Linked DNA regions of Callithrix jacchus. The protein of the gene in region 5 purifies or fractionates together with the protein of the main gene of each other region. This does not show direct contact. Links are inferred from orthologs where the notes say so. Each region holds a gene or a part of one and is shown on either strand. Other genes may lie near its edges. The genes, in order: BCORL1, FBXO21, FBXL4, ARB2A, SKP1, FBXL18 and FBXO42.

Region 1 (4,628 bases), on a different chromosome or scaffold from region 5:
CCAGCATGATATTCACAGGATAGGGAGCTGAATGGACAATGGATTAGGAGGTCTTTAAGTAAGAGCCTCTGTTTAGGGCTCTAACCATTACACCACAGTTTCTTTGCATTCCCCCCACCCCACCAACCCCCTACACACACACACACACACACACACACACACACACACACACACACGGCCTGATCAGAATAAAAATAGCGTATATGATGGTACTAGTAGAGATCAAGTTTCAGGGGCTTTTGGTCCTTATTCTTCTGGGCATAAGCTGATCCCTGAGGGCAAGGAGGGGCCTCTGGGATATAGTGTTGCATGGTTAATTAATTCCTCCGATGTATTCAGCACCTCTCTCTCTGAAATAGGATCTTGGGCTTCAGGCAGTAAAAGGACCAGGGTAGTCTGCATTAGGTGCAGACAGAACACGGGCCACCGAGGGCTGCGTGCCCCTCAGTGAGCCAGTGGCAGGCACGTGGTTAGCCCAGAGCCCAGTACCAGCAAAGCTGGTTTTCCTGACATGACATCCTCCAGCGCTCCTTCTAGAGCTGCCCTTCCCCACAGCTGCAGCACACTGTGAAAATGTCTGTTCTTGAAGAAGTTGGGGGTGGGGGTGCTAGTGTAGAATGATGCCTCAGAGGCCCTATGGCATGCAGAAGGACCTTCTGAATCACCAAAGCAAGACTGAATTCTCATTACTAGTGTGCATGTTTTCAGGGCTTTTTCCCATTCTTTGGAAGTGATGGTCCAAGTGTGTGCTATCTGTCTAGTCCCCTTTTCTTAACCCAAAGCGCTCCATTTCCTATTCCTGTGAGATAAGAACTTGCTGTCATTTGGGAGTAATGTTGCATTTTAGGGATAAGGATCGTGGGTCTGGTTAGATGTTTAAGGCACTGGAATGGAACATTTGATTCTATAAACATGTCTTCAACAGCTGCGCCAGGTCAAACCCTGGGGACCAGAACTCAGCTCTGGCCTTCGAAGAATTCACTGTCTAGTGTAGTAGACGAACAAGTATATAATTAACCCTAATCAAAGACAAAATGTCCTAATCAGATTCATTGTAAAAAAACTCCAACACTTTCAGAAGGGTGTCAAATGCAAAAAGTTCCCGTCCACGCTGAGCCCCCATTGCTATGCCGCAGAGTGAACCACAGTTTAAGGTTCTTTTGCAATCCTGTCAGAAGTGGGCTTTGTTGATAGTATTACAATAGGGTTGTGAATCAAATGCCACGAGACCACGGGAGATGGAGGAACAATGAGTTACAAGTGGGGAAGGTTTCACAGGTGATATGGTATCTCCCTGAGCTGGGCGGGGAAGGAGGGAAAGATGGAGAGAGCAAGGCACTGAAACATACAAATTCAGAAAGTAGGGGGAGTCTTTTATCATGTGACCGGTGCTTGCTGGGATGGGAGGTAAAATGTGGGGTATGTGTGTGTGTGATTAAGTGGACATTGGGCTGAAGAAGTTGGAAGATCTTTTTTTTTTTTAGATGAGGTTTCTCCATGTTGGCCAGGCTGATGTCAAACCTCCTGACCTTTGGTGATCCGCCCACCTCGGCCTCCCAAAGTGCTGGGATTACAGGTGTGAGCAGAAGGTCTTATATAATAATATCATGGTAGTGGCCAGACATGGTGGCTCACTCCTGTAATACCAGCACTTTGGGAGGCCGAGGCGGGTGGATTACTTGAGGTCAGGAGTTTGAGACCAGCCTGGCCAACATGGTAAAACGCCATCTCTACTAAAAATACAAAATTAGCCAGGTGTGGTGGTGCATGCCTGTAATTCCAGCTACTCGGGAGGCTGAGGCAGGAGACTTGCTTGAACCCAGGAGGCAGAGATTACAGTGAGCTGAGATCTTGCCACTGCACTCCAGCCTGGGTGGCAGAGTGAGACTCCATGTCAAGAAAAAAAAAATCATGCAAAAGAATTTAGAATTTTTCTGGAGGCACTGGGGATCCACTGCAAGCTGTTTAGTGAGGGAATGGAAGGTCAGACTTTCTTTGTAGAAAACTGTAATGGTAACAGATGATCCAATGAGGGTGAGTAGGGGTGCAGAAGAGTGACCCCTGGCAAAGGGAAACCAGTTAGGAGGCTGATAAGCTGGAGCCCAGGCCAGAAGTGGCAAAGGCTGGAGCTGGGGTCGTGGAATAATGAGGAGGGCAAATTCTGTGAACTGGGACCACTAACGTGGGGAGGCAGCATTTCTTCCTGCATTAGTCAATGTAAGCATTTGGCCCGGGACTGGCCTCTCCAGCACCCCTCCCAGCTGTCCCCAGGCTGCCACCCAGTCGAGTGTGCTCAGCAAAGTCAGACTCAACTCACTGTAATGTGAGCTCTGGCCCTGCAGAAATGATGGTGCTGCTGCCGGAGAAAAGAATTGTCTAATGCATTCCAGAGCCAAAGAGAAATGCCTTTTGGATTACCCGCAGTTTAGGCCTTTCTCCACGGCTCCCCCTCTGCTGGGGAAGATCATGGAGAGCAAGGAGGCCAGGGAAGTGAGAGAGAACTGGAGAGAGAATCCAGCCGGGCTGGCAGGGGCGGGAATGCCGGGAGGGGGAAGACCAGTCCCAGCAAATGGTGAATCCCAGGTCACAGGGTGCAGGCTAAGTCCCCAGGAAGCCCACTAGAGTTTGAGGTTCTGGAAGGCCCCTTTCCCTCCTGCTTGTGTTATTTCGGAAAAGATCGGTCACGGATTGAGTGCTCACCGTTTAGCTGAAAGCCGGACCAGGTATTGCAGGGGACAGAAGACATTTGCCTCAGCCGTACCCAAGGAGCCTGTGGTTTACCAGGCGACAGGGGAGCCAGACTGGCAGTGAGTTATAATGGGAGATGAGGGTGGCCGCACAGCCTTCGTGGGCTTTGCAGGGTGTTCTGGGTCGGTGCCCCCACTGCTGCCCCAGCCTCCTTCCATAACTCCCATCCTTGTCTTTGCAGGCCCTGCAACTGGTTTCTCTTTTCTGATGTCTTGAAGAGGCTGAAGCTTTCCTCGAGGATCTTTCAAGCCCGGTTCCCGCACTTTGAAATCGCCACCTTGCCCAAGGCTGAGTTCTACCGGCAGGTGGCCTCCAGTCAGCTGCTGACCCCTGCCGAGAGGCCTGTAGGCTTGGACGACAGATCCCCCCCAGGCTCCTCTGAGACTGTGGAGCTGGTGCGGTACGAGCCAGACCTACTTCGGCTCCTAGGGTCCGAGGTGGAATTCCAGTCTTGCAAAAGTTGACCAGGAAAACAGCCCCTCCTTTTCTTCTTTCTCCTTCCGAGTTCACCCTTCCCCCACCTCCCTTGTCTTTCCCCCACCGAGCACCAGACTGCAGAATGAGGCAATAATACGGACCAACAAGAAGCCGCCTTATCAATGCCAGCATTAGCGACTGGACTGTTTTTGTTTTTTTGGTTACAATTAGTTCTCATCTCCCTGTCGTCATCATTGTTGTCGTGGTTGGTGATGGGGGTGGAAAGCTGAACTCCACGTCTGAGGACAAGAGGTCCCAGGGGTGGTGGGAGGTGTCGCCGGGGTCCCTTGGACTGGCCTCCTTGTATATGACCAAGACCAAACCTGGGCCCTGGGTGGCCTTGGCCTGTCCCAAGGAGAAATGAGAAAATCCCCGATCGCTGAGCGCCCCCCCAACTCCATTCCCCTGTGTTCTTCTGTCTTCTGTAGTATTTATTTGATTAGTATTTAATTTGTACTGTTTCATTGGTTTCTGAGAAGTCTGTATCACTGTGACGATTTGAGACAACTTGTTGTTCTGAGGGACTTTCTTTACCTCCTTCCTTTTTCTTTGTTGATGAGCTCTGACAAAGCTATTCCCAGGTGGTTCCCCCCCCCCCACTGGGGTGGGGTGGGGTGGGGGGGACATGAACTTGTGACTAACGAAGCTAGCTGCTGCTGGCCTAGGGCTGGGGGCTTGGGGGTAAATCCTGAGGCTTTGGTGCTCCCCCCCGCCCCCTTCCGCCCTTTGCAGCAGCCCCACTATCTTGAGATTAGTGTTGACAGGGAGAGGAGGATTGTGGGGCCAGCGCTTAATAAGTGACTCTAATAAAGGGGTGTGGAGAAGGGATCTGAGGGGTGAGGGTGCCCCTCTTCACACCTTCTTCACTGCCCCCCTCTGAGTGCACAATATGAGTTTGTTCCTGCATCCTTTCCCCAGTGCCCCCACTCCCCCAACCTCATTCTGGCCTCCCTGTCTCGAGATACTGAGCCTCTCACCTCCCAGCCCTCGGCCCCCCCATCCCTGCCCCTTCCTAGACTCGCAGCACCCCTTCCTTCCTCTCCTCCCCACTCCTCCTCCCTCAGACCCCCATTCTCCTTGGGAATCTGCAGAGGGCTCTGAGACTGACTGCCAGATGTGAAATCCAGGGGTCAGCTATTCTAGGCAAGGGCAGGAAAGGGATCTCTAGACCTTGCTCCTCTCCTGCCTGGGGACCTGAGGTTGAGTGGTGGCCCCACCTGGCCTCCCCCTGGCCTCCAGGCTCCAGCACTGGGTTTGTCCAGTGAGAGAGAGAGAGGAGCTTGGGTTGCATCCCTGTCCCTGACCCCTCTGTGGCATTGTCCCTTCCACTCTTCTTATTTTTCTACCAATTGCTATTTTTCCGAACAATCCTTGTAGAGTATGTACCATCCAAAGGCAGGAGG
Region 2 (4,020 bases), on a different chromosome or scaffold from region 5:
GCCTCAGCCTCCCAAGTAGCTGGGATTACAGGCACCCGCCACCACATGAGACTAATTTTTGTATTTTTAGTAGATGGTGTTTCACCATGTTGGCCAGCCTGGTCTTGAACTCCTGACCTCATGATCCACCCACCTCAGCCTCCCAGAGTGCTGGGATTATAGGCATGTGCCATTGCACCCGGCCTTTTTATTTTTTTTATTTCATTTTTACAGTCTTTTTTTTTTTTTTTGAGAGGGAGTTTCGTCCTTATTGTCCAGGCCAGCGTGCAGTGACACGATCTCAGCTCACTGCAACCCCCGTCTCCCAGGTTCAAGCAATTCTCCTGCCTCAGCCTCCTGTATAGCTAGGACTACAGGCATGCATCACCATGTCTGGCTAGTTTTTTGTATTTTTAGTAGAGATGGGGTTTCACCATGTTAGTTAGGCTGGTCTCAGACTCCTGACCTCAGGTGATACACCCACCTTGGCCTTCCAGAGTGCTGGGATTACAGGCATGAGCCACTTCACCGAACCTTATATTCTATTTCTCTAGTGGCAAAATTTCTCTGCAGAGAACAGGAAGAGGAGGTAGCATGATTTTCCCAAGAGATGTACAGATAATAACAGCTGATATCCACGTGGGATCTGGAGGTGCAACCACCTTCCATTCAACCCTGGTCTCACAGCAGCCCTGGAAAGAGACTGCTCGCTGTTGGAAGCCCAGGGCCAGTGCTGGAAGGAGCTTGGGTGGAAAGTGTGGTCTGCGTGAGGGACTCCTGTGATAGAGGAGAGTGGTAGCAGGTACAAGACTTGTCACCACGTGACGTGGCAGCTTCAGAAACTTAGCCACTGCCAAAAAAGGAGCAGGCAGGGATAATCTTGTCCCATTGTCCAGTCAGAGAGACCTAGTGAGTCTGTTGTTTGCCAGTTCCTAAGAGACTGTTGGAGTTTTGCTGGAGCCAGACATCCTGCTCAGAGATTTGGAAAATCTGCTGTTCTGTGGGGAGCTTTTGGGGAACCCATACCATGGCCCACATTCTCGTGATTGCCACTCGCTGCCCTTTTCCCATTACCCTCTCCTGGCTCCATAAACATCTTCAGCCTTCCCTTCTACATCTCAAAAATGCCACTTGGAAAAGGTGATGGGAGGTTCTCTGGATAAAAGGTGCTGTAGAAATTGACAGTGTAATGAGAATGCCCATGTGCCTCTTTACCAACAGAAAATTTGGAATATAACGTGGAGCCTCAAGAAATCTCACACCCTGACGTGGGACGCTATTTCTCAGAGTTTACTGGCACTCACTACATCCCAAACGCAGAGCTGGAGATCCGGTATCCAGAAGATCTGGAGTTTGTCTATGAAACGGTGCAGAATATTTACAGTGCAAAGAAAGAGAACATAGATGAGTAAAGTCTAGAGAGGACATTGCACCTTTGCTGCTGCTGCTATCTTCCAAGAGAACGGGACTCCGGAAGAAGATGTCTCCACGGAGCCCTCGGGACCCGCTGCACCAGGAAAGCCACTCCACCAGTAGTGCTGGTTGCCTCCTACTAAGTTTAAATACTGTGTGCTCTCCCCCAGCTGCAAAGACAATGTTGCTCTCCGCCTACACTAGTGAATTAATCTGAAAGGCACTGTGTCAGTGGCATGGCTTGTATGCTTGTCCTGTGGTGACAGTTTGTGACATTCTGTCTTCATGAGGTCTCACAGTCGACGCGCCTATAATCATTCTTTGTATTCACTCCATTCGCCCGTCTGTCTGCATTTGTCTTATAACATTTCCTTGGCTGGACAGATGGGGTTATGCATTTGCAATAATTTCCTTCTGATTTCTCTGTGGAACATGTGCAGTCCCGAGTGAGGACTGTGTGTCTTTTTACCCTGAATTTAGTTGCATATTCAGAGGTAAAGTAGTGTGCTCTCTTGGCAGCATCGTAGAGACAGAGACATTAACAATCTAATGGTAATTAGAATCATTTGAATTTATTTTTTTCTAATACATGAAACACAGATTTGAAGTGTTTATCTTTTTTTTAAAATTTAATTGGGAATATAACACTTTCCCTTCCATATTTCTCTTGAGTTTATGCACATCTCTATAAATCATTAGTTTTTTATTACATAAAATTCTTTGAGGAAATGCATAACAGTGAATTTTGTGAATGGATTTTTCCTTACTCATCTACAATTCCTCCCTTTTAAATGACTACTTTTTTAACTTAAAAAATCTACTTCAATATCAGGAGTAGGTCTTAAATCAGTGATGGGTTCTTTTTGTAGTAAGACATAGAAATCTGATGTTAAATGTTTGCTCTTAGAAGTCATCCTCCCTGGTCTCCAAAGACCAAAAAATGAGGCTTCGCTTTTGTGATCAGGAAAAAAAAAATTCGTGAACCTTAAAAAAAAGTTTCTGAAGGTAAAAAAAAGTGGTTTCACACCTGTTATTCCTTAGAGTCATTTCAAGGCCTGTTCGAATGCAGCAGGTTAGAAAGAGAATGTCTTTCATTTGAAGAGTGTTGGACTCGTGGGAAAGGAGATGTGCTTGTTGTAATCTGCTTTTCCAGGCTGCCAGGGTCCTGACAGCAGCAGGACGAAGCCTGTTTTGATATCTTCTGGGAAAGCCTGACTATGTTCAGACAGTCCTGGCTCCTTCCCAAAGTTCTCAGTAACTGAGCCCGGAGTACCTACCTGCATGCCTTCATGCAGCTCTGGAGCTCCTCCTCCTCCCGGCCTGCCAGTTCTCATGTGAGCTAATCTTGTCATTAATTGATAGACGATAACTTCTGGAGTTAGGACCTAGTTACTTTGCTCTCGACTTTTAAAATAATGCAGTTGCTCTAGTGAACGGGGTGTTAGGGGCCTGTCTGTGCGCCTGTCTGTCCATCTGCATGCAGTATTCTCACCCATGTTGAATGACTGCTGCCTGTTTACCCTTTGGAAACCCTGAGGTGACCGAGGAAAGCCACCTGAGACCACTTAATAGCAAGGGAAGGCTTTAAGCAGTTCCTAGAAAGAGATGGGGATTTGGCCCCAGCTCCTCTAGCCTGAGTTAGCTGTTATCCACTGTCCACGTTCCTTATGAGTTCAAATCCAGAGTCAAAGGATTTGAACCTGCATTTGGAAATGTGACCACTCACAGCGCCTGGCCCACTGAGGTTGGGAGGATTGTACACTACTCTCATTTAAAGGGGAAAATTAGATAATATGGAATTAATATTAATGAGATGCATTAATAAGAAACTGTGAGCATGCTGAGAGTTACAGTTGTTGGTTTTCTGGTTTGACTGATTTCCTTTTTTCATAGAAACATCAAAGCCAAGAAAGATGGTTTACCTTTACTCACCCAACTGTAAATATGTATCTAGACTGTTTTTAAATGTGTTTCTTCATGACTGCTTCATGGGGCTCCAGGAAGCCTGTATCACCTGTGTAAGTTGGTATTTGGGCACTTTATATTTTTCTAAAAATGTGTTTTGGATCCTGTACTCTAATAAATCCTAAGTTTCTTTTTAAAAATTTTCCAAAACTTTTCTCCATTTTAAAAAGCCCTGTTATAAAAGTAGAACTTTCACAATGTTAAAATGTTAACTATTTGGATATAGCAACTTCTTTTCTCCTCAAATGAATGCCAAGATTTTTTTGTACAATGATTAATAAATGGAACTTATCCAGAGAAACCACTCAAATGGACTGCCCAATTTCGTTTCAGGACAGAAAGCCCAGCCACTATGAGAGTAGAATGTCTCTCACCTCTCTTCGGCTCTAAATATGAAAAGTATGCTCTGCTGAAATTTTCTTAGCATTGGTGAGCAGACAGCCTACCTTTAAACCAGGACCTCCTTGCCCAACATTAATTTTATCAGTTCACTAGTAACCTTTGAGAATATCTGGTTGTCATGCAGAGATTGCACTTCTTGAATTATGTTAAGGCAGCTGTTGTAAAATGAGAACTGCTCATGCTTTGAAAGAAAACCAGGTTCTTGGTGTGTTCTGTTGAGGTTGTTTTGAATGGCTGCGCTGCATGCAGTGTGTCCAAAAT
Region 3 (4,477 bases), on a different chromosome or scaffold from region 5:
ATGGAAAATTACTCTGCCGTAAAACTCTCCACAAAATCCTGTTACCTGCAGCAACATGGATAGAACTGGAGGTCATTATGATGAGTGAAATGAGCCAAGCACAGAAAGACAAATAATGCATGTTCTCACTCATATGTGGGAGCTCAGAAAGTGGGTCTCAGAGACTGAGAAGTATTTGGGAGGGGGCATGGGAGAGTGAGGGGAGATAAAGAAAGGTTGATTAATGGGCACAAACATAAACTTAGAAGAAATAAGAACCGGTGTTCCATAGATCAGTAGGGTGATTATGGTTAAGGTTAATCAATAGTACGTGTCAAAATAGCTAGAAGAGAATAATTTGAATGTTCCTAGCACAAAGAAAAGATAAATATTTAAGAGAATGAGTAATTCAGTTATGTGGATTTGGTTACAGAAATGAATTGAATTATCATGTGTACCATGAAAATATGTACAGCTATTATGCATGAATAAAAATAAAAAATTTTAAAAGTTGAAGAAAATAAAAATGTTTCTCTTTGTATACAAGATATACTGCATATTGTATATTGATTCTGTTCATATATAAGTAAATATCCTTACGGTTTTGCCTCATAAGGAACATTTAGACAGCAAATAATATTTTTCATCTTAGTGGATGTTTTGTAACAAGATAAATATGATGCAAACTAAAAAAGTGCCATACTGAATTTACCAAAAATAAATCAAAATGAGTGAGAGACTACCAGACCTTCTTCATCAGAGGTAATGGTCAGACGCTTCTGAACGTTGGAAATGGGTCTGTAGGCAGGATTTGTACGCAGGGCAGAAGTTTGTAAACTAGAGGAATTATACCTTTTGAGCGCATATAGTGGATATTGTACTCTTCCTCTAAGTATGCGTACCATTCGTATTACCTATACATCGCCTGATTTCACCAAGTCTGGACCGAAGAAGTCCTAGCAGGACAACTACAGAAGGCGAGTCGGTTCTTGGAGGGGATTATTCCGCAGAGGATATGCAGCCACTGCCCGCTGCGGTTATCTAGGCTCTTTACACGGCCACCAATGGAGTGGGGAAGCCAGCAGGAAGCTCCCGCCCCTGGCCCGGGAGGGGGCTGTCCCTATGGCCCAGAACACCTCCCATGGAAGGAACGCCAGGCTTTTTTCTCGGCTCCGCTCCACCTGCCACCAGGCCCCGCCCCACGTCGGCCCCGTCCCGCCTCCCCGGCCCCTTCCGCGTCTTCCTTCCGGGTCGCGCCGGGCCGGGCTTGCCGCCGCTGTGCCGCAGCCAGAGAGTTGGGGAGCCGCCCCCACGTCCAGACCTTTTCGCGCCGCCTGGTCGCGGGTGAAGCCCGCGGCGCGCGCCTCTCCCGGACCCTGCAGGGTACGGCCCTTCCTTTACTTCTCCCTCCCGTGGGTCTCTGCCTTTTTCTTTCGGGGCGGGGCCAGGGCCGAGCCAGGGCGCAAGTCTGCGCTTTGGGGAATCTGGACGCCTGGCAAAGGCCCCCGCTGCCCTCCCCTCCCTGTCCGCGCCCTCGCGCCCCGGCTTCGCGCTTGCGGGGCTTGCTGAGGCCGCTGAGAACTGCTGACGTGCCTCTGGCTGCTTCTCCGCCACACTCTGCCCGCAGACTGTGAGGCATCGTCCGGAAGTGTGCGCGGCTCTGGGTTGTTTACACCGCGGAGGACTGCGGGTCGCCCACACCCGCGCTCCGTGCTGCCTCGGCAGCCACGCGTCGGCCACATGCCCGCCTGTGCTTGTGATTCCCGTGCCTGCTGCCTTGATTTCCTTCTGACATCCGATGGTTTTTGCCTAACCAGGCCTATGTTTTCCTTCTTCAGGACTGCCACAAGGTGCCCAGCTACAACCTTGTTAATGTTTTTAGGTTTAGGGGTGCCCCTTCAGTGTGAGGATGACCGTCTACTTGGCCTCCTTGCCAACATATTTATGACGGGTGGTTTTGGATTTCCTTGGTTTCCTAGTGATTATTACTACAAAGCTTCGAGATGCATTCACAGATTGAAATACAGTATACAAATAACTGTTGTAGAAGGTGAAGATGGTATAAGCCTGTGGTCAGGTAGTTGTGTTGGCAGCATGCCCATCTGGCTTTGTGCCCCAGAGGGCTCACTACCACTAGGTGCAGGATCTTTGATTGCTTTGGTCTGTTTGCAGACAAGTTGCCTTTTCTGCTTCTTGCGTGCACCCCGTGGTTTCTTAAGTTCAGGTATAGGTATACATTTTTTTTCTTTCAGGCTCACTTCCTGCCTCCATTATCCTGTACTGCATATTGTACCTGTTGGTTGAGTAGAGATTTATCCAGAGCCATGAACGCTCTGATAATCCTTAATCAGATTAAGTACTTGGGGGAAATGTGGATCATGTTGTAGTAGGCACTCTAAAAGTTCCTTCAATTGGATTCTTCTTTCTACACTTCTGTTCTGAGTACTAACTTTTTTTAACTTCTGTCCCAAATGTTGGCTTTTCTGAACTCTGTATTTTCAAACTCCTCCCTTCTCTTACTGACTTGAAAATCAGAGAAATCAGCTCATTGTAACATGGATAATTTCTTTACTCACACTGTGATAAAATAATGCAATAATAGTACTCTGTGCAATGGTACATATGGTCAGTTAACAAAAACTGCCCCTTTCTTTACTGTACTAGTCTCATCTTAATTTTGCTGTGGTTAACATTCTCTATCTTAACTTCGCTGATCTAACTTCAGTGTCCTTTTAAAAAGGCCTTTATCCGCATGAATTGTATATCCACCTCCTTTTTCTTGTAGTATTGTTAATTATCTTATTTATATTTTAGTGTGAGATAGGAAGGCTTCAACTTTATATTTTGTTAGTGACTCCATCGTCATTTGTTGAATTCTATTTTTTGCTACTGATCAGTACTATAAATACCGTAGGTCCTAAATTCCCGTCTATTCTTGGGACTTTCTGAACCGTTGTGCAGTGTTCTTTGGCTTCCTATGGTGATCCTGGCTTCTGTGATGCTCTTATTGCTCTAGGTTTGTAATGTGTTTTAATGCCTAGGGATTTGAACGATGCCTGGCATATTGTAGATATCACTAAATATTTTTGAAATGAACGCATTTAGTGGAGGCAAGTTGATTCCCTTTCTTTACCTCTTGCCTCCCTCCCCCATTTAAAAGTTTCTTGCCAGTTATTGAGATTCATTTATTTTAGCTTTCTTTTTCCATGGTCAGTTGAATCATGAACTGTTAATAAATAAATCCCTTGTGTTGCTCACTCAGAATTTGACACTAGAGTTGCTTCTTGCAGTTACATAGAGAAGCAGCCTGATTAAATATCTGCATGCCTTTTGACTTTGCACTGTATCATATAACTGTAGTGTGTCTCCTAGTCAGCTATGATTTAGGATGTTCTGTACCTGGTTTCTAAAAGAAAAATGGTTATCTAAGAGATAAATGGCTGTAGAAGTGTTCCGTTCGGACATCCAAATATCCATTTGTATTTTACCATCCCAACTGGATATCCTAAATATACATTTTAAGATGTTGTTGTAATGGACACCTAAAAACCTTATTAGATCATGAAATAAATGTAGGCATTCTTTAAAAAAGATCAAGCAATACAGAAATACTCAAAGGAGGAAGTGAAAGTGCTGTGTGCCCACCTACCCAGTAACCTTGTTCCATAAAGATTACCACTGCTTGCAGATTTTAAAAATAAATGTGTAAGTCTACCTTTGTTTCATAGATGGCAGTGTACATGTATAATTTTCTATAGCCTCCACTTAATAATAATTGATTAACATCCTTCTGTGGCAGTGCATATAATAGTATCTTGTCTTTTTTGTAAGTCTTTTTGTTATTTCATTGTAGGAATAACCCAAAAGTTATTTAGCCAATCCCCTGTTGGCATTTAGGTTATTCCAAATTTATTACAAACAGAACTGCAGGTCGTTTTTGTGTTTATATTCTGTATACTGTCATATTTGCATGTTGGTTTATTTTCTTAGATATGAAATTGCTATGCCAGAGGTACACCTAAGTGTTAAATTGAGAGATTCTGCAAAAGTGCTCCTCAAAAGTTGTTGGTAAGAGTAAATTTATACAATTTGTTAAAATGCTGCTTTTACTGTATCACGTTGCCAAAAATTGTCAAGGGTCTGAGATCATACCTTACTTGCAAGCTAACAGTTTCATGGAAACTGGCAGAAAATGTGATACTCCTGATTCAGAGTCAAAGCACCACAGTAACGATAGCCAGATGATCATCTTGTGCTGATTTGCTGGAACCCTGATTTCCACTGGTTGATGTAACAAGAGCCCAGTGACACTAGCATGTGAAGTAGGTTGTGTTACAGGAGAGGAATCCTTAGTTTAGGAAACTTGAATCTTTGATAGTGGCCTGCAAATAAACCTGTCTGATTTTTGCCAGAGAGGGAGACATTATCTTTATTGTCCTGAAAGATGAACAAACCTGCCCTCCGTACCAGGAGACATCTCTTTATCTGCTGTATAAAC
Region 4 (4,536 bases), about 42 Mb from region 5:
TCTAATGTTTTTCTCATGGTTAAACAGGGATTATATATTTGGAGGGAACCTTATCTTTTTAATATAATTTGTCACTGTTGCCAAAGTCTAAGAAAATAAAAATGTTTCCCTCCTCTGTTCAACAATCCTTCAGTTCCCCCACTTGTCTGCAGCAGAAAATCAGATTACTCAGCACGACATAGGAAGCTTTTCAAAATCTGGTTGTTGCTTTCTTCAGAATAAAATGTCACTCTACAAACCATTTGAGTTCTTTCCAGAAATGAAGCCCTAACAGTCTCACAATGCCCAGGCTTCATCCAGGTACTCAGTCCTGGCTAACTCCAGTGGATTCTCTTCCTTCTTGGGAACATTGCTCCTTATCTCCCACCACTTATATCATTTGTCTCTCTGATCTTGTACACTTTTCTAAATTTCCCCAAAATAGTATTTACCACTGTGATCATTCAGTCTTTCAATAAATATTGTCTACTTTGTGGACATGCACTGTTGTTGTATGGTTGAAGACACATTTGAAAAACAAGGTCACTACCAGCAATGAGTTTACATTTTAGTGGGACAGGGCACATTTGTAAATAAATAAATGAATAGCATTGTACTTTTATGAAGGAAACAAGTAAGGAGTAGAGATTAAGAAGTAAAACTATGTGGGAGTGAAGTATAGAGAGTCTGGGATCTCCTCTTTGAAGAACATCGTAACTGTTGGTTTACTTGTCAGCCACCAGTCCTTCCTTCTACTTAGCTGCCTGAGACGAGAGGAGGTCTAACTCAGCTTTTGCCCCAAGCATCTAGATTAGCCTAATTCATTAAATTAACAGTTTTGGACTAAATACGCTGAGGGTAGTATCCAAAAATTAAAAATCAGTTGCTCCCATCCCTCCCCACAGATGTACCCTTGAAATACCTTTCAAATCTGTTTCTGGAAAAAACATTAATATCCATTAAGATTTCCATTTGAGTCAAGTATGATAACGAGAAAACTTTCAATTGTCATTAGCATGCTAGCATTAACTTCCTGTTTTACATGTCACAATTCGAAGGTAAATTTTATCTTCCAAATCTCGACCTCCCGGTTTTTCTGGAGTTGAATGGGCAGGGTAAAGTCAGATACACTGTCAGTGGGGAGTGGGAAATTGGCTGTAAGGCCATCCTCAGAATGGTTTTTAAAATTCCGCCTGGAGAACAAGGTTTTAGGGTGGCGTCGTCCGCTACGGCTACCCAGGCAGCCTTAATAAGGAAGGGCGAGCAGAGAGCAACACTACACAAAAGGTCTACATTTAATTCAAGCGGGCCACTCTCTTCAGCGCACCTATCACCACAGAACCAACCCGGGGGCCGCGCCCCGCCTATTTCCGGGTTGTCTTCGCCGCTGCCGTCGCGTGCGTAATGACGTGTCAGTCTCCTGCAGACCCCGGAAGTGCAACTCTAACTTGGTCGGGGCGCGGATCCCGAGAGGGAAAGTCATAACAACCGCACGAGGGAGTTCGACTGGCGAACTGGAAGGCCACGCCTCCTCCCGCCTGCCCCCTCAGCCCTGTAGCTGGGGGCAGAGCTCAGGTAGGACTGCGTTTGCGGGGTTGTGAGCTCCGGGGGCAGGCCTGGGTCGAAATCCGAGGAGGGGGCTGGCCTGGGTCGGTCTTGGGCGGGAGTCGCTGGTCCTGGGGCCCGAGGCTGTCACAACCACGCTGCGTTCCCTGCGGACACCTCTGACCTGTGCCTGGGCCCCCGCTGATGGGCAGGTCCCATGTGCCATTTCCACCCCCCAGGCGGGAGCGACACGTGTGTTCCCTGGATGACTTTCCTTATATCTGGGCGTATGGGATTCTGGGAGTCCCTGGAGACAGAGTAATGGGCCCTCCTCCGCTTTCTGGGAAGAGGAGTTATTGTGGTTCTTTGATTAATTTTTTTTTCCCTACAAAAAGTGTTATTAACCGCCAACGCTTTACCAGAAGTCATTCACTGCAGGTGGATGAAAATGCAGTATAAAATGCTCTCAAAACTTGTAACATGCATGAGCACAGGTGGGACGTTTCTCTGGGATGCAGTATGAATTAAGTGTCGAATACTTTTGACTTTGAAATAAAGTAAGTATGTTTTGGAAGCAGTCTTCTCTTTCCCTCATCCAGGTATTTGACATATAGTGCTCCACGGTATAAGTCTGCTGGGCCAAGAAACTCATTATTTGTGTTTTGGATATACTGTATTTAGTGACATGCAGTGTTGTTGAATTTGTCCGTTTCTCCCAAGTCCTCAAAAAGGCTGTAGAGGGAAAAAATCTCTGGATTTTGTCTGCAAGTGCCTCGTATGTTTATGAAAATACCAATGCGATTTTTTTAATGCAGTACATGACATCGTTTGTATTAACACATGCCATATAGTGCATAATAAATATCACATTTATAAGGGCTTTATCCTACAATGCGAGGGACAGTTACACTGTATACATTTAGCAAATGTAGACACCTAGTAAGAGTGTTTTTGGATCTGCTTTTCTAAGGCCCCAGTGACAGTGCTGGTACCAGGCTTCTTTTAGACTTTTAAACTAGCTGTTACTTCTACTTAGCCAGTGAAGCCTACACAGAAAAGTTGGGGGTGCTCAGGAAGCTTTCAGACTATGACTGCTGCATATGGTAGAATAGTACCAGGGCCAAAGGGGAAATATTATCTATGAAACCATGAGCATCCACGTGTTTATTCATTTAGCCAATATTTTCTGGCAACCTTCAGTGTGCGGGATAGTGTTCAGGTCATGGGAAGACAGTAGTGAACAAAATAGAAAGTCCTTTTGCTCCTGGAGCTTACATTCTAGTTGATGGAGAGGTATAATTAACAAGCAAATATTTAACAAGTAGTGTTTAAGAGATATAGAGAAAGGGTGAGTGCAGTGGCACACGCCTGTAATCCTAGCACTTTGGGGAGGCAGAGGTGGGCAGATTGCCTGAGCTCAGGAGTTCGAGACCAGCCTGGACAACAAGGTGAAACCCCATCTCTACTAAAATACAGGAAATTTGCTGGGTGTGGCGGCGTGCGCCTGTAGTCCCAGCTACTTGGGAGGCTGAGGCAGGAGAATTGCTGAACCAGAGAGGCGGAAGTTGCAATGTCTCCAGATCAGGCCACTGCACTCCAGCGTGGGTGACAGAGTGAGACTCCCTCTCTAAAAAAAAAAAGAGGTATGGAGAAAAATAAAGCAAATTAAGGGGAAAGAGAGTGCTAGAGGATGCCATTTTGATAGGGTGGTCAGTCCCAGCCTCTCTGATAAGGGAACATTTAAGTAGAGATATGAATGAAGTGAGATAGTTAGCTCTGCAAGTATCTGGGGAATTAGTTGGCCTAGTACAAAGGCACAGAGACAGGAGCATGTTTGATATATTTTGGAATAGCAAGAATGTAGGCATGGAGGCAGCAATCTCAACAATATTCCGTAATTTGGGTGCATGAGGGATTTTATTTATTTACAGTTTATTTTTCTCAGCTTTCCTAGACAGACCCCTGAGGAGAATCTGGCTTCTGTAGATATGTAGAGATGTTTCCACGCTCTTCATTGAGCTCTAACAAAAGTAAGCACTATTTACTCAGTTTTATACAACTTGCACTGTCTCTGTTTTTAGAGTCAGATTGGGTTTGCACAGTAGTCATGGAGTGACTTTACTTTTCACTCATTCTCCGGAAGTTTTTCATCATCCGTAATTGAAACTTCATACCTATTAAACTCTCACACCTCATTTTCTGTTACCTTCAGCCCCTGATAATTGCCAATCTACTTTCTGCCTCTTATGAATTTGACTACTCTAGGTGTCTGACATAAGTGGAATTATGCGCTATTTAACCTTTTGTGACTGTCTTATTTCATTTAGTATAATGTCTCCAAGGTTCATCCATGTTGTAGCATGTATCAGAATGTTCTTTTTAAGGTGAAATACAATTATCCATTGTGTGTGTATGCTGTTAATACATTTTGTTTATCCATTCATTTGTCCATGGATACTTAGATTGTTTCCATCTTTTGGTTATTGTGAATAATGCTGCTTTGAACATGAGAGTGCAAATATCTGTTCAAATCTCTGCTTTCATTTCTTTTCGATATCTGTCCGGAAGGGAAATTGCTAGATCACATGGACATTTTATATGTCTCCATATATTTGAGGAATTGACACACTTTTCCACACCAGCCACCTCATTTCACATTCCCACCAGCAAAGCAAAGGAGTCTGGTTTCTGCACATCCTCACCAACATTTCTCCACATCCTTGCCAAACACATTTTTTTGGTTATTTGATAATAGCCATCCTGATGGGTGTAAAGTAGTATCTCTCTGTGTTTTTAATTTACATTTCTCTAATGATTGCTGATGTTAAGCATCTTTTCATTTACTTTTTGACCACTGGTATATATTTTTGGAGTTCTATGAATTCATTTTAAGATATGATTTAATAAAAATTTTTGGAGATTTATTTGGTGGACTTTTTAAGGGTTTAGAAGGCAGCCACCATATCTGTTATTGCTTTTTAACTCTTTGATTCTATAATTGTAAAACCTCCA
Region 5 (4,020 bases):
GAGTGCAGTGGTGTGTTCTCGGCTCCCTGCAAACTCTGCCTCCCAGGTTTAAGCAGTTCACTCCACCTCCCAAGTAGCTGGGATTACAGGTGTGTGCCACCGTGCTTAGCTAATTTTTGTATTTTTAAGTAGAGATGGGGTTTCACCATGTTGGTCAGGCTGGTCTCAATCTCTTGACCTTGTGATCCACCTGCCTCAGCCTCCCAAAGTGCTGGGATTATGGGCATGAGCCACCATGCCTGGCATCTGGTAAGTTTTTTTTAACATATAAAATAGCTCTATTCCAGAGCCTTTAAATATTACTTCTTACAGATTTAAAATTTGCTAACTTCATTGACACTGAATTTTAATACTCTGAATTAAAATGTAATGCCATATTTAAATCCACATATCAGTAACACACTAAATGTAAATGGTCTAAACACAGTTAAAAGGCAGAAATTAACAGATCAAAAAAGCAAGATTAGCTATGCTGTCTGTAAGAAACCCACTTTAAGGAAATAGACACACCTAGGTTTAAAGAATGAAAGAAGGTAAACTATACTGACATGAATCAAAAGAAAGCTGGAGTGACTATGTTAAAATAGATGTGGAGGCAAAGAATATTACTAGGGTTAAAGGGGATTATTTTGTATCGTTAAGGGGATCCATTTTTTAAGAAGACATAACAATCATAAATGTTTATTTGCCTAGAAGAATTTCAAGAAGTGAAACAAAACCCAGAAGAACTCAAAGAAGTCCACAAATTTGCAGTCATAGAGCTTTCAGTACCTCTCTCAATTAATATAACAAGTAGACAGAAATCATGATAACTTGATATAACACTATTGACCAACTTAATGGACATTTATAAAACATTTTATCTATCTATATCTATATATTATGTATCTGTTTGAGACAGTCTCACTCATCACCCAGTCTGGAGTGCAGTGGTGCAGTCTCTGCTCACTGCAACCTCTCCTCCCGAGATAAGTGATTCTCCTGCCTCAGCCTCCTGAATAGCTGAGATTACAGCCACCTGCCACCATGCCCAGCTAATTTTTTGTATTTTTAGTAGAGACGGGCTTTCACCACATTGGTCAGGTTGGTCTCGAACTCCTGACTTCAGGTTATCCACCTGCCTTGGCCTCCCAAAGTGTTGGGATTACAGGTGTGAGCCACTGTGCCTGGCCTAAAACATTATATGTAACGATAGCAGAATACATATCCTTTTCAAGTGTATATTACCAAGATAGACCGTGTTCTGGGCCATAAAACAAGTCTCAGCCTGGAACAGTGGCTCACACCTGTAATCCCAATACTTTGGGAGGTCGAGGCATGTGGATCACTTGAGGCCAGCAGTTTGAGACCAGCCTGGTCAATATGATGAAACCCCTGAATTAGCTGGGTGTGGTGTCACACACCTATAATTCCAGCTACTTGGGAAACTGAGGCAGGAGAATCGCTTGAACCTGGGAGGCAGACGTTGCAGTGAGCCGAGATTGCACCACTGAACTCCAGCCGGGTGACAGAGTGAGACGGTGTCTCAAAAAGAAAAATCTCTATCATAAAAGGATTTACGCCATACAAAGTATGTTCTCTGCAATGGAACTAGAAATCACAAACAGAAAGGTAACTGGAAAAATCTGCAGCTTCTTTAAAACTAACACATTTGCAAATAACCTGTAAGTCAAAGAAGAAATAAAAAGAATTTGTATTTTGAGCTGAATAGAAATAAAACACATGAAAAATCTGTGAGATGCAGCAAAAGAAATACTTAGAGGGAAATTGATAGCATGAAATACCTATATTATTAGAAAAGAAAAGTTTCAAATCAGTGATCTAAGCTTCCACCTTAAGAAACTAGTAAAAGATGAAATTAAATACAAAGCAAACAGAAGAATTAGAATATATAAGGGCAGAAATCAGTGAAATAGAAAATAGGTAATAAAGTCAGTGAAACCAAAACCTGTTTTTAAAAATCAGATCACTAAATATAATGCTATAACTGCTTATTGAACTCTTTAAGTGTGGACAAATATTTTTGTCAAGATCTGATGTGGTATTTGTCAAGATCTGATGTGTGTCTGTACACACATACACAACAGTAGTGGCCATTAACATTTGAGCTAATACAGTTTGGTTAAGGAAGCAGAAGGATTCAGCATCATAGAGATGTAACAAAGGTCACATAAAAGTCTTTCATGGAGGAACTTATGAGTGATTTATTCTTCTCCCTTTAATAAAATTATCATTTTAAGCTTTATTAGACATGGAGTTTCAATCATTAACTTTAGATTTAGTTTAAAACATCAAGTATACTTTAAGGAAAACAACTATCTCTTTACAGGCTGCAAACTACTTAGACATCAAAGGTTTGCTTGATGTTACATGCAAGACTGTTGCCAATATGATCAAGGGGAAAACTCCTGAGGAGATTCGCAAGACCTTCAATATCAAAAATGACTTTACTGAAGAGGAGGAAGCCCAGGTAGGTGGCACACAGTTTTGTCTCTGATCGCATGCTCTTAAAAAGGGACTAAAGCCTGTAATACACCAGAAAAGAGGTGACTGTATCAAGTAGTCTTGATACTTGAGGGATACTAGGTAGTTTCTGTGTCTTAAACATACTCTTACTGTACTGTCTGTATGAGTCTAAACACTTACATGATACTGCATTTTTTTTTTTGAGATGGAGTTTTGCTCTTATTACCCAGGCTGAAGTGCAATGGCGCGATCTCGGCTTACCGCAACCTCCGCCTCATAGGTTCAGACAATTCTCCTGCCTCAGCCTCCTGAGTAGCTGGGATTACAGGCTCGTGCGACCATGCCCAGCTAATTTTTGTATTTGTAGTAGAGACAGGGTTTCACCATGTTGACCAGGATGGTCTCCATCTCTTGACCTCGTGATACACCCACCTCGGCCTCCCAAACTGCTGGGATTACAGGCGTGAGTCACTGCGCCCGGCCGATACTGCATTTTTAAGCATAAGAACAATTAGTTTTCAACAAGAGGAGCTCTTTCTTGTAAATGTGTTAACAGTTACTAGTTCTGGCATCTGCAGCTTTTTGTATAGACCATACATATCTGACTTCAGAAAAGCAGGCCCTAGAGAAGTGTATGCTAGGGCACTTGAGAGCAACTTAATGAGGGGAGGAAATGAAAAAATAGATCAGAATGATTTTGTTGACATGACTACAGACTGAAATTGTGTCAGTTAACTAACTGAATTTGCTCTGTCAACTTTAGTAAACTGCCCATTGTCTTTATTTTGTTCAGAATTTCAGCAGGGCAGAATAAAAACCTTGGGAGGCAAAAAAAGGAAATCCAGAAGTGTAGTCTCAGTCTGGTGTTCTGATTTTCCATCTATTCTACTGACTCACTGGCTATCGATGAATCAGTAGGTAGTATATTTAAGTCTTAGGAAACACTACTAAAGTTAAGGTACTTCCTTATATCCATCTCTTTTAGGTACGCAAAGAGAACCAGTGGTGTGAAGAGAAGTGAAATGTTGTGCCTGACACTGTAACACTGTAAGGATCGTTCCAAGTACTAGTTGCACTGCTCTGTTTATAATTGTTAATATTAGACAAACAGTAGACAAATGCAGCAGTAAGTAAATTGTATTAGCAGAATATTGTCCTCATTGCATGTGTAGTTTGAGTACAGATTCCAAATCTATGGCTGAGTTTCTTCTAATATGATTGAAAGTTTCTTTTTTCTTTGCTCTGAATAAAACTGAACTGTGGGTTCTCTATAAGTGGCATTTTGGGCTTTCCCTCTTTTTTGTAAAGCAGTGTCTGCCTAGTTTATTGTCCAGTTAACTTTAGTGACCTTTTAAAAGTTGGCATTGTAAATAAAACAACCTGCAAAAAAGTTATCTGGAATAGAATTAACAAAATATTATCTTTATTCATGAGTTGGAAACTGCAAAAGGCTTCTTGAAGTAAATGTTCTGAGTGGAGTTACTAGGATGTCTTTCAGCCTCCTGCAGGCAAGGAGTACCACCATATTGATTAGCCTGTATTTAGCAGGGCTCC
Region 6 (4,020 bases), about 57 Mb from region 5:
CCTGGCGACTCCAGCAGGCAGGAAATAAAGAGGCTTTAGCGATCTGCTCTGTCTTTTGAAGTCCTGGGTTTAATCCTGGGCTTCTCACCCCAACACTAACAGGTCTGCAATGGGAGGCCAAGAAGAAGGGTGGCACCCAGGCTGACTGCAGGGCCCTCGAAGGCTCCAAGGTGTCAGCCTCGAGCTCTGTCGCTCCCGAGCAGACCCAGCCACTTCCGGCCATGCCTTCTGCGGGAGAGTGGAGATTTATAAGGACACCCTTATCTCTGCTCTGCATGGCTCCAGGGCCAAGGTCAAGCACTGGCGTCTGCAAGAGACTCAGCTCCCCGAGCTCCCACAGCCTCATGTGGAAAATGGCAATGGCTGCAACCTTAACAGATTGTGGTGGGGATGATGGGCTGAGGGCATGGCTCTCAGCAAATGCACAAAGTGAACGCTAACAATTGTGGGGACAATGACACGTGCCCGCATGTCCCCTTAGGTGGAGGTATGACTTCACGTACCCACCACCCACCCCACTAGCTAAGGACTCATGGAGACAGCAGGTCACTATCTAAGCCCTGCCCCCACTGTCTCCCAAACCCGAGTCCCTTATAGCACTGAGGTTCAAGGCCTTCACTACCTTTTGGGTAATTTTTTTTTTTTGAGAGACAGAGTCTTGCTCTGTTGCCCTGATTGGAATGCAGTGGCATGATCACAGGCAGCCTCGATCTAACCTCCTGGGCTCAAGCAATCCTTCCACTCAGCCTCCTGAATAGCTGGGCCTACAGCCACGAACCACCAGACCCTGCTCATTCTTTTATTTGTTTTGCAGAGTTGTGTGTGGTCTAGCAATGTAGCCCAGGCTGGTCTCGGACTCCTGAGCTCATGAGATCCTCCACTTCAGCCTCCCAAAGTGCTGAGATTACAAGTTTGAGTCACTGCAGCCAGACCACTCTGGGTAATTTTTCTTGTCTTCTCTATTCTTTTCTTTTTGAACGCCTCACGCTCTCACCCAGGCTGGAGTGCAGTGGTGTGATCTCGGCTCACCAAAACCTCTGCCTCCTGGGTAAAGAGCAATTCTCCTGCCTCAGTTTCCTGAGTAGCTGAGACTACAGGTGCCTGCCACCACGCTCAGCTAATTTTCGTATGTTTTTGGTAGAGACAGGATTTTACCATGTTGGTCAGGCTGGTCTCCAACTCCTGACCTTAGGTGACCTGCCCAACTTGGCCTCCCAAAGTGCTGGGATTACAGGAGTAAGCCACCACACCCGACCCCATTTGGGGTCATTTTTCATGATCGATTTATCTGCCAAGATTTCAAATGCCTCTCAAGTTAACAAATTATTCCTTAAATGCTGGGAACTGACAAGAATACTGTTTGCTCCACAGCATAATCAGCATAAATTCATTTTGTGCTTGGCTCTGGAAATGCCATGGGTCCCCAACACTGTCTGGGGTAGAGCTCTCCCAGGCCAGTGGTTCCACCTCTTCCCCGCTCTTGGATGGGTCCTGCTGCTAGTCCCAGGGACCGTCACCTCCCAGGAGTCTGTGGTGCCCCTCCTGAGCCAACCTCTCCCATCTCCTACATCCTGTCCCCTACAGCCCATGTGGGATGCCCAGGATGCCGCTCCCTCTCCCGGGTGAAGGCCCTCAGCACTGTCACCACCTGCCTTGTCCACCCCATCTTTCCCACTCCCTCTCACCTCCCATTGTCCCCTGGACCCTCTGACCTGACTGCTCTCTGGCATATTTTCAAGTCTCTGGGCTTCCTTCACATGGTGCTTACTGACCCAGGAAGCCTCTGCCCTGCCAGGCATGGTGGCTTATGCCTGTAATCCCAGCACTTTGGGAGGCAAAGGCAGGTGGATCACCTGAGGTCAGGAGTTCAAGACCAGCCTGCCCAACATGGTGAAACCCCATCTCTACTAAAACAACAACAACAAAAAATAGCAGATGTGGTGGTATACACCTGCAGTCCCAGCTACTCGGGAGGCTGAGACAGGAGAATTGTTTGAACCCAGGAGGCAGAGGTTGAAGTGAACAGAGATGGCACCACTGCACTCCAGCATGGGTGACAGAGTGAGACTCTGTCTCAAAAAGAAAAAGACAAAAAAAACAAAGATGGAGGCCAAGTGCAGTGGCTTGCACCAGCACTTTGGGAGGCCAAGGTGGAGGATCACTTGAGCCCAGGAGTTCGAGACCAGCCCGGGCAATACAGTGTCTCTTCAAAATTTTAAAAATATATATATATAGCCAGGCATGATGGCATATGCCTGTAGTCCCAGCTACTTGGGAGGCTGAGGCAGGAGGACTGAGTGAGCCCAAGAGGTTAAGGCTGCAGTGAGCTATGATGGTGCCACTGCAATCCAGCTTGGATGACAGAGCAAGACTCTGTCTCAAAAATAAATAAAAGTAAAATTAAAAAAAAAGAGCGGGGTGCGGTGGCTCACACCTATAATCCCAGCACTTTGGGAGGCCGAGGCAGGAGAATCACGAGGTCAGGAGTTCGAGACCAGCCTGGCCAATATGGTGAAACCCTGACTCTACTAAAAGAATAAAAATAGGGCCGGGCACAGTGGCTCACGCCTGTAATCCCAGCACTTTGGGGGGCCGAGGCGGGTGGATCACAGGTCAAGAGATCCAGACCATCCTGGTCAACATGGTGAAACCCCATCTCTACTAAAAATACAAAAAATTAGCTGGGTGTGGTGGCGCATGCCTGTAATCCCAGCTACTCAGGAGGCTGAGGCAGGAGAATTGCCTGAACCCAGGAGGCGGAGGTTGTGATGAGCCGAGATCCCACCATTGCACTCCAGCCTGGGTAACTAGAGCGAAACTCCGTCTTAAAAAAATATATATATATAAAATACATATAAAATAAAAAATTAGCTGGGCGTGGTCAGGAGGCTGAGGCAGAAGAATCACTGGAACCTGGGAGGCGGAGGCTGCAGTGGGCCAAGATGGCACCACTGCACTCAAGCCTGGGCAACAGAGCGAGACTCCATCCCAAAACACAAAACAAACCCAAAACCTAAAATGCAATTAAACACACACACACACACACACACGCACACAAAGAATTGCAGTCAGGTCAGAAAGGCCTGGGTTCGAATCTTAACTCCCCACCTACTAGCTCTGCTGTGTGGCAACAACCACAAGCACCTGGTAGGCTTGTGAGAGGATTAAGCAGGATGACTCACAGTAGGGCCGGGACAATCACTCAAACACTATCAGGAGTGAGGACGCTAAGCTCAGCCATCCGCCTCCTTCCTGCACCCCGGGTTCCTCTAGATGCCGCTCTCCCCAGAGCCCCCTGAGCCAAGCATGGGACGCGGTGAGGTCCCACCCCAGCCTCTGCACTCCTGGAGGACAGGCCTGTGGCAGGGCCGCCTCCAAGTTCCACGACAACACACTTCCCTCCGCCAGCCTCCAGCAGAGGCCCGGGAGGTCCCCGCAGACCCCCTCACCTGAGGTCCCTCAGCCGCTTGCAGTGCTTCAACATGTCCGATAGCGCGGGCATGTACACCACCTTCCCCATCATGCCCAGGTTGGCCAGCGACAGGGACCGCAGCTGCTGGCACTGCAGGCCAATACTGACCAGCCCGGAGCCCGTCAGGACGCTGGGCAGCTGTGCGAGCGTCAGGTGCCGCAGGAAGGCCAGCTGGCCGATGGCGGCCACCTCCGAGTCCCCGACGCTCTGCGCGCGGCTGCAGGGCGGGAGCGAGTTGCGGATGGCCGGCTCGTTGCGCGGCATGGCGGAGGAGAAGTTGGACCCGATCAGCTCGAGGTGTTCCAGGAAGGGCAGGTTCTTCAGCAGAGACCAGAACACTGATGAGGGCTGGGGGCCCGCCTGGCCCGAGAAGGGGCTGGGACAGGACTGCACGCCCACGCGCACTTTCTTGCCGAAGCCGCGCGGCACGGCATGCATGGCGGGCTGAGCGGGCGCGCGATCCGCGCGCGGTGCGGAGTCGGCGACGGAGCAAACTGGTAGGGAGAGGGAGCGCAGGTGACGCAGCCGGGCCAGGAGCTGGCAGAGGT
Region 7 (4,564 bases), on a different chromosome or scaffold from region 5:
CCTCCCAAAGTGCTGGGAGCCACCGCGCCGGGCCTCTTGTTTGTTTTTCTGAGACAGTCTTGCTCTGTCGCCTAGGCTGAAGTAGAGAGGCACATTCTTGCTCACTGCAACCTCCGCCTCCTGGGTTCAAGCGATTCACCTGCCTCAGCCTCCCGAGTAGCTGGGACTACAGGCGCGTACCACCATGCCCAGCTAATTTTTGTATTTTTAGTAGAGATGGGGTTTCACCTTTTTTTTTTGACCAGGATGGTCTTGATCTCTTGACCTCGTGATCTGCTAGCCTTGGCCTCCCAAAGTGCTGTGATTACAGGTGTCAGCCACCTCGCAACCGGCCTGCAATTGTTAATCAGTCTTAAGGTCTGTTGTGTTGATGTTAGTGCTGGAGGGTATAATGAGGCATGTCTGACCCCCACTTCCTGTCATGGCCTGAACCATGTTAAATTTAGACTGCCCTGGTCAATTTACCTCTCTGGCCTGGCCTAGGAGAAAGTCCATTCAGAATGCTTGGTGTGGTGGTAGTGGTGGTGGGGAGGGGCTTAGTTTTTTTTTTTTTTTTTTTTTTTTTGCTTACGGAGTTTAGACTGAAGCCCTTGACTCCATCTGGCATTTCCTTAGACCACATGCTGTATGTAGGGCTAAGCTCGTGAAGGTTCGTTCTCACCTACACACCAGGTTGCTCCCTTGGGAGGGGGCTTTGCTGGAATCTATCCCTTGGTGATAGCCAGTAGGATGTAAAGGAACTTGGGAATCCTACATGCCCGAGTTTAAATCCTATGTTTCCCGCGCCGCCCCACCTCCACTGCTAGGTGTGTGGCTCTGGACAAATAACTGATCGTTTTCCGTGCCTCAGTTTCCTCATCTGAAAAGTGGAGCTAGTAAAACACCTCACACAGTGGTTGCTACAAGGCTACTACGATTAAGGGAGGCTTCTCTTGCACACCTCAGGCGGAGTTTCCCTCCCCGTGGGGATGTCCAGGGGCACTTACATCCGCCACCTCTGTGCTCATCGGGCCCTCGGGGTAGAACTTAGTTAATTCCTGGCTAAAGGTTGGTCTCAAATCACAGGGAAAACCACCCAGGTGCTCCAGACATTTGCAGCGGAGGGTGGGTGCGGCTATGAGGTCGACGCTGGAGACGCGGCGAAGACGGGTGCGGAAGCTTCGCACCCCCGGAAGATTCCATCCTCCACAGAATCTTGGTCTGTAGCCACAGCCCTTCTCAATATGGCGCCGCCCCCTAGCCGCCCCGCGCCGGCCCGCCGCGTTGACGTGAGTGCGCGCGCGTGTGTCCTTCGTGCCCGCCCCTGCGCATGCGCGCTCTGCTCTGTCTTCTCTCGGCTAGAGCAGCAGCTGCGGCGGCGGGGTTTGAGTGGAGGAAGATGGCGGCTCTGGGTGGCTTGGGGTCCCGCCAGCTGTGAAGAGCCCGGAGCACGGCTATCGCGGCCTTAGGCACAGCGCCTCTGCTCTGGCCCTGTCCCTGGCTCCCTCATTACCGTCGCCACCGGAGCGAACCCGAGAGCTTGGAGCGGGCTGGGCCAGGTGAGGCCTCTCCTCCTCCCGGGGCCGCGATGGGGAGCTGGCGCCTCCTGCCCTTTATGCCCGGGGCTGGCAAGGGGCAGCGGGCGCCCCTGGTCTGGCGCAGGTCCCGCATCCCGCGCAGGGGTCGGTCTTGGTTGGGCAGGGCGCCTTGCTATCGCCGTCCTTGAGTGAGGAGGAGAGGAGGAGAGTTCCTTTCCAGCCAGCCCTTGGGTTGGGAGCGAACCCACCCTCTCTCCCCAGCAGGGTGATTCTCGTCCCCTCACCCGGGCAGTGAAGGGATGTGTGGCCCGAGCAAGGATGGCTTTAGGGTGTCAGATAATCTTTCATCGGGCCTCCGAACCTTTTACTTCTTTGCGAGAGAGGAGCCGGGAGTCGGGTGCCCATCAAAATTGGGGCTGCGGCTGGGGGCCAGCATCACTGAAGCTGCAGTTGCAGAGGGATAATTTGGAAATTGGTTTTCGTGAAATAAAATAAGCGGCCTTTCCTAGCCCCTAGCTTGTTGAGTGTTCCCCTAGAGAAATGGAAACTGCGGATCTCCTTGCTTGAGACAGCAATCCATGCTGTGACTGTGGAAGACTTCTCTTGGCGAGAATTGTGTGTGGTAAGGGAACGGTGGAGGGTGGGAACGAATTTGTAAGCGAAGAGAAAGCAATTGTGAGATCTTGATGGTCTCTGCAGGGTAACCTCAGCGCCAGTTGAATTCGTTTGAAACCTTCGGATTGTTAAGATTCAGAATAGCCAATTGCTTTGTCTGTTAAATCTCCCGACTTTTATTAGGAAAATAAAGGCTTCATTTCTTAATTGCCAGAGTCTTTGGATTTTTCTGTGGTGGGATTCTGATGGATCTAGATGAAGATCTGACGCTTTACCAGTTCTCACTTGCCGGCAGCAACATTGTAACTATGCTTGTTCCTTTTGGAGAACAACTTTTGTTGTTGTTTAAATGCTAATTGGGAGACTTTGTGTTTCTCATGTAGGGAAGTCGGTTTTGAAGCCTTGTGGCCTCTTCCTTGAGGAATGATGGCTTCATTGGACTGTGCTGTGGGGAATTGTTGAGGCAATTGCTTTTGCTTGGACACACCAAAATACCTTTTGTAACACATTGGCTTTACTTGTGCTTAAGAATGGTGACGTCATGGATTTAAAGAGAAGGAAAATTTGGAAAGTACCATCATTTACAATTGAACATTTAGAAATAAGTCTATAGCTCTTATGAACATTGGTGTTGCTGTGTTTAATTGCTAACTTTGAGTGTATTCATGTGTGTAATCTGATTGGGTGTCTTTTCTATTGTATGTTATTTTAACTATTTGCTTTTGACATGCCAATATAAATGCATTATTCAATCCACATTGATCCATGGGCATGCTGTATATCTTAAAAAGATTTTCCTTGGTGAAATGACAACTGTTTCGGTTATTATTTGACCATTTCTCTCTCTTTCTCCTTTTTTTTTTTTTTTGAGGCAGTCTCTCACTCTGTCACCCAGACTGGAGTGCAGTGGCATGATTTCGGCTCACTGCAACGTCCATCCCTTGGGTTTAAGCGATTCTCGTGCCTCAGCCTCTTGAGTAGCTGGGATTACAGGCGTGCACCACCACGCCCAGTTAATTAGTTTTTGTAATTTTAGCAGAGACGGGGTTTTACCATGTTGCCCAGGCTGATCTCAAACTCCTGGTCTCAAGCAATACCCCACCTTTGCCAGGCTTGAGCCACCGTGCCCAGCCTCCTTTTCTATTTTTAAATCAGACTTTTCCGTAGAAATTTGTCGATTTTCTTAGTGTCTTTGCTAAAGATGTAAATCTGAACTGTCAGCTTCTCTGTGGTAGAAAATTGGAGAGCTACTTTGCATATCAATTCACTAATAAAGAGTCATGAAATTAATGCAGTAAAACATCCTGGTGGCTCATCATTATGCTTCTTGGCATAATATGTTGCACTGTTATGCTAAATCATCATCACTTATTGATGCAACTGCGTGACATCCATGACATCATTTGCTCTCCAGATTTTGACTTTTGCAATTCCTTACCTTACTCAGTTACAAAAAGAACAGGATCAGAAAAAGGTAGCTTAGGATGCTTGTTCTTGTCTGGTTTCTAGAAGGGTCTTTAATAATTGCTTTATTAAGTTTAAACCCTTCAGATTCAGAACTGGATGAGTCCTACCTATTATCGAGAGCAAGCAAAGAAAATGCTAGCAAAACATGAATTTTATGAGAACACTGAGATCCCAAGGAGAAGCTATCTCAAAGATGAACAAACATGTAATTATCTTTGTGATTTCAGGATTGTTTTAGTCATCGAAGTAACTGTTTATAAAACCAGAAGCCATTTGATTAAATAAAGCCCTTCCCATGATTGTTAATGTGGGTCAAAAAAGACAGTGTTTGTGAAAGTGCTTTGTAAAATGTAAAATAAAAGGTAAATATAAAATTGATTATTCCTATTTATGAGCTACCGAATAAAGGCCCTCTGTTTGGCAGGTGTTTTGGGAAGTAGGTACTAATAACTGTAAGATAAGACAGATAAGACAGCTTTTGGTCTGAAGTTGCAGACAGTATGGCTTGGGAGGTAGACAAGGAAAGCCATTAAGTTCTGTATAGTGTAAGAAGTGCACTGAGGCTGGGCATGGTGGCTCACGTCTATAATCCCAACACTTTGGGAGGCCAAGGTGGGTGGATAACGAGGTCAAGAGATCAAGACCATCCTGGTCAACAAGGTGAAACCCTGTCTCTACTAAAAATACAAAAATTAGCTGGGCATGGTGGTGTGCGCCTGTAATCCCAGCTACTCAGGAGGCTGAGGCAGGAGAATTGCTTGAACCAGGAGGCAGAGGTTGCGGTGAGCCAAGATCGTGCTATTGTAACAACAGAGAAACTCCATCTCAAAAAAAAAGAAGCGCACTGAATCCAACCAAGAGAGCCAAGGAAGGCTTCTTGGAGCAGGGATGGCTTTACCCCAGTGTTTCCTATTATTCTACAGAGTCTGCCTTTAGTGAGTGACTTGCTTTTTATAAAAACTTTA

Evidence for each region.
Region 1: the proteins of SKP1 (region 5) and BCORL1 purify together in Homo sapiens (affinity purification with mass spectrometry; 3 studies listed by BioGRID and IntAct, with this or other methods). This does not show direct contact. The link is inferred for Callithrix jacchus from reciprocal best matches to the Homo sapiens genes SKP1 and BCORL1.
Region 2: the proteins of SKP1 (region 5) and FBXO21 purify together in Homo sapiens (affinity purification with mass spectrometry; 6 studies listed by BioGRID and IntAct, with this or other methods). This does not show direct contact. The link is inferred for Callithrix jacchus from reciprocal best matches to the Homo sapiens genes SKP1 and FBXO21.
Region 3: the proteins of SKP1 (region 5) and FBXL4 purify together in Homo sapiens (affinity purification with western blotting; 9 studies listed by BioGRID and IntAct, with this or other methods). This does not show direct contact. The link is inferred for Callithrix jacchus from reciprocal best matches to the Homo sapiens genes SKP1 and FBXL4.
Region 4: the proteins of SKP1 (region 5) and ARB2A purify together in Homo sapiens (affinity purification with mass spectrometry; 3 studies listed by BioGRID and IntAct, with this or other methods). This does not show direct contact. The link is inferred for Callithrix jacchus from reciprocal best matches to the Homo sapiens genes SKP1 and ARB2A.
Region 6: the proteins of SKP1 (region 5) and FBXL18 purify together in Homo sapiens (affinity purification with mass spectrometry; 3 studies listed by BioGRID and IntAct, with this or other methods). This does not show direct contact. The link is inferred for Callithrix jacchus from reciprocal best matches to the Homo sapiens genes SKP1 and FBXL18.
Region 7: the proteins of SKP1 (region 5) and FBXO42 purify together in Homo sapiens (affinity purification with mass spectrometry; 8 studies listed by BioGRID and IntAct, counting the BioPlex papers as one, with this or other methods). This does not show direct contact. The link is inferred for Callithrix jacchus from reciprocal best matches to the Homo sapiens genes SKP1 and FBXO42.

What each region holds. Positions count from the first base shown.
Region 1 is NC_133524.1:125,714,852-125,719,479, forward strand, and holds the end of BCORL1 (BCL-6 corepressor-like protein 1), read left to right. Parts: intron 1-2,929; coding exon 2,930-3,212; 3' UTR 3,213-3,729; downstream 3,730-4,628. UniProt on the Homo sapiens protein: Transcriptional corepressor. May specifically inhibit gene expression when recruited to promoter regions by sequence-specific DNA-binding proteins such as BCL6.
Region 2 is NC_133510.1:120,185,109-120,189,128, reverse strand, and holds the end of FBXO21 (F-box only protein 21), read left to right. Parts: intron 1-1,200; coding exon 1,201-1,391; 3' UTR 1,392-3,667; downstream 3,668-4,020. UniProt on the Homo sapiens protein: Substrate-recognition component of the SCF (SKP1-CUL1-F-box protein)-type E3 ubiquitin ligase complex.
Region 3 is NC_133505.1:104,969,735-104,974,211, reverse strand, and holds the start of FBXL4 (F-box/LRR-repeat protein 4), read left to right. Parts: upstream 1-1,216; 5' UTR 1,217-1,362; exon of another isoform or gene 1,363-1,829; intron 1,830-4,477. UniProt on the Homo sapiens protein: Substrate-recognition component of the mitochondria-localized SCF-FBXL4 ubiquitin E3 ligase complex that plays a role in the restriction of mitophagy by controlling the degradation of BNIP3 and NIX mitophagy receptors.
Region 4 is NC_133503.1:116,527,347-116,531,882, forward strand, and holds the start of ARB2A (cotranscriptional regulator ARB2A), read left to right. Parts: upstream 1-1,393; 5' UTR 1,394-1,554; intron 1,555-4,536. UniProt on the Homo sapiens protein: Plays a role in the regulation of alternative splicing, by interacting with AGO2 and CHD7. Seems to be required for stabilizing protein-protein interactions at the chromatin-spliceosome interface. May have hydrolase activity.
Region 5 is NC_133503.1:74,176,255-74,180,274, forward strand, and holds part of SKP1 (S-phase kinase-associated protein 1), read left to right. Parts: intron 1-2,329; coding exon 2,330-2,470; intron 2,471-3,451; coding exon 3,452-3,487; 3' UTR 3,488-3,513; exon of another isoform or gene 3,514-4,020. UniProt on the Homo sapiens protein: Essential component of the SCF (SKP1-CUL1-F-box protein) ubiquitin ligase complex, which mediates the ubiquitination of proteins involved in cell cycle progression, signal transduction and transcription.
Region 6 is NC_133503.1:17,027,496-17,031,515, reverse strand, and holds part of FBXL18 (F-box/LRR-repeat protein 18), read right to left. Parts: coding exon 3,450-4,020; intron 1-3,449. UniProt on the Homo sapiens protein: Substrate-recognition component of the SCF (SKP1-CUL1-F-box protein)-type E3 ubiquitin ligase complex.
Region 7 is NC_133508.1:53,658,907-53,663,470, reverse strand, and holds the start of FBXO42 (F-box only protein 42), read left to right. Parts: upstream 1-1,325; 5' UTR 1,326-1,538; intron 1,539-4,564. UniProt on the Homo sapiens protein: Substrate-recognition component of some SCF (SKP1-CUL1-F-box protein)-type E3 ubiquitin ligase complex. Specifically recognizes p53/TP53, promoting its ubiquitination and degradation.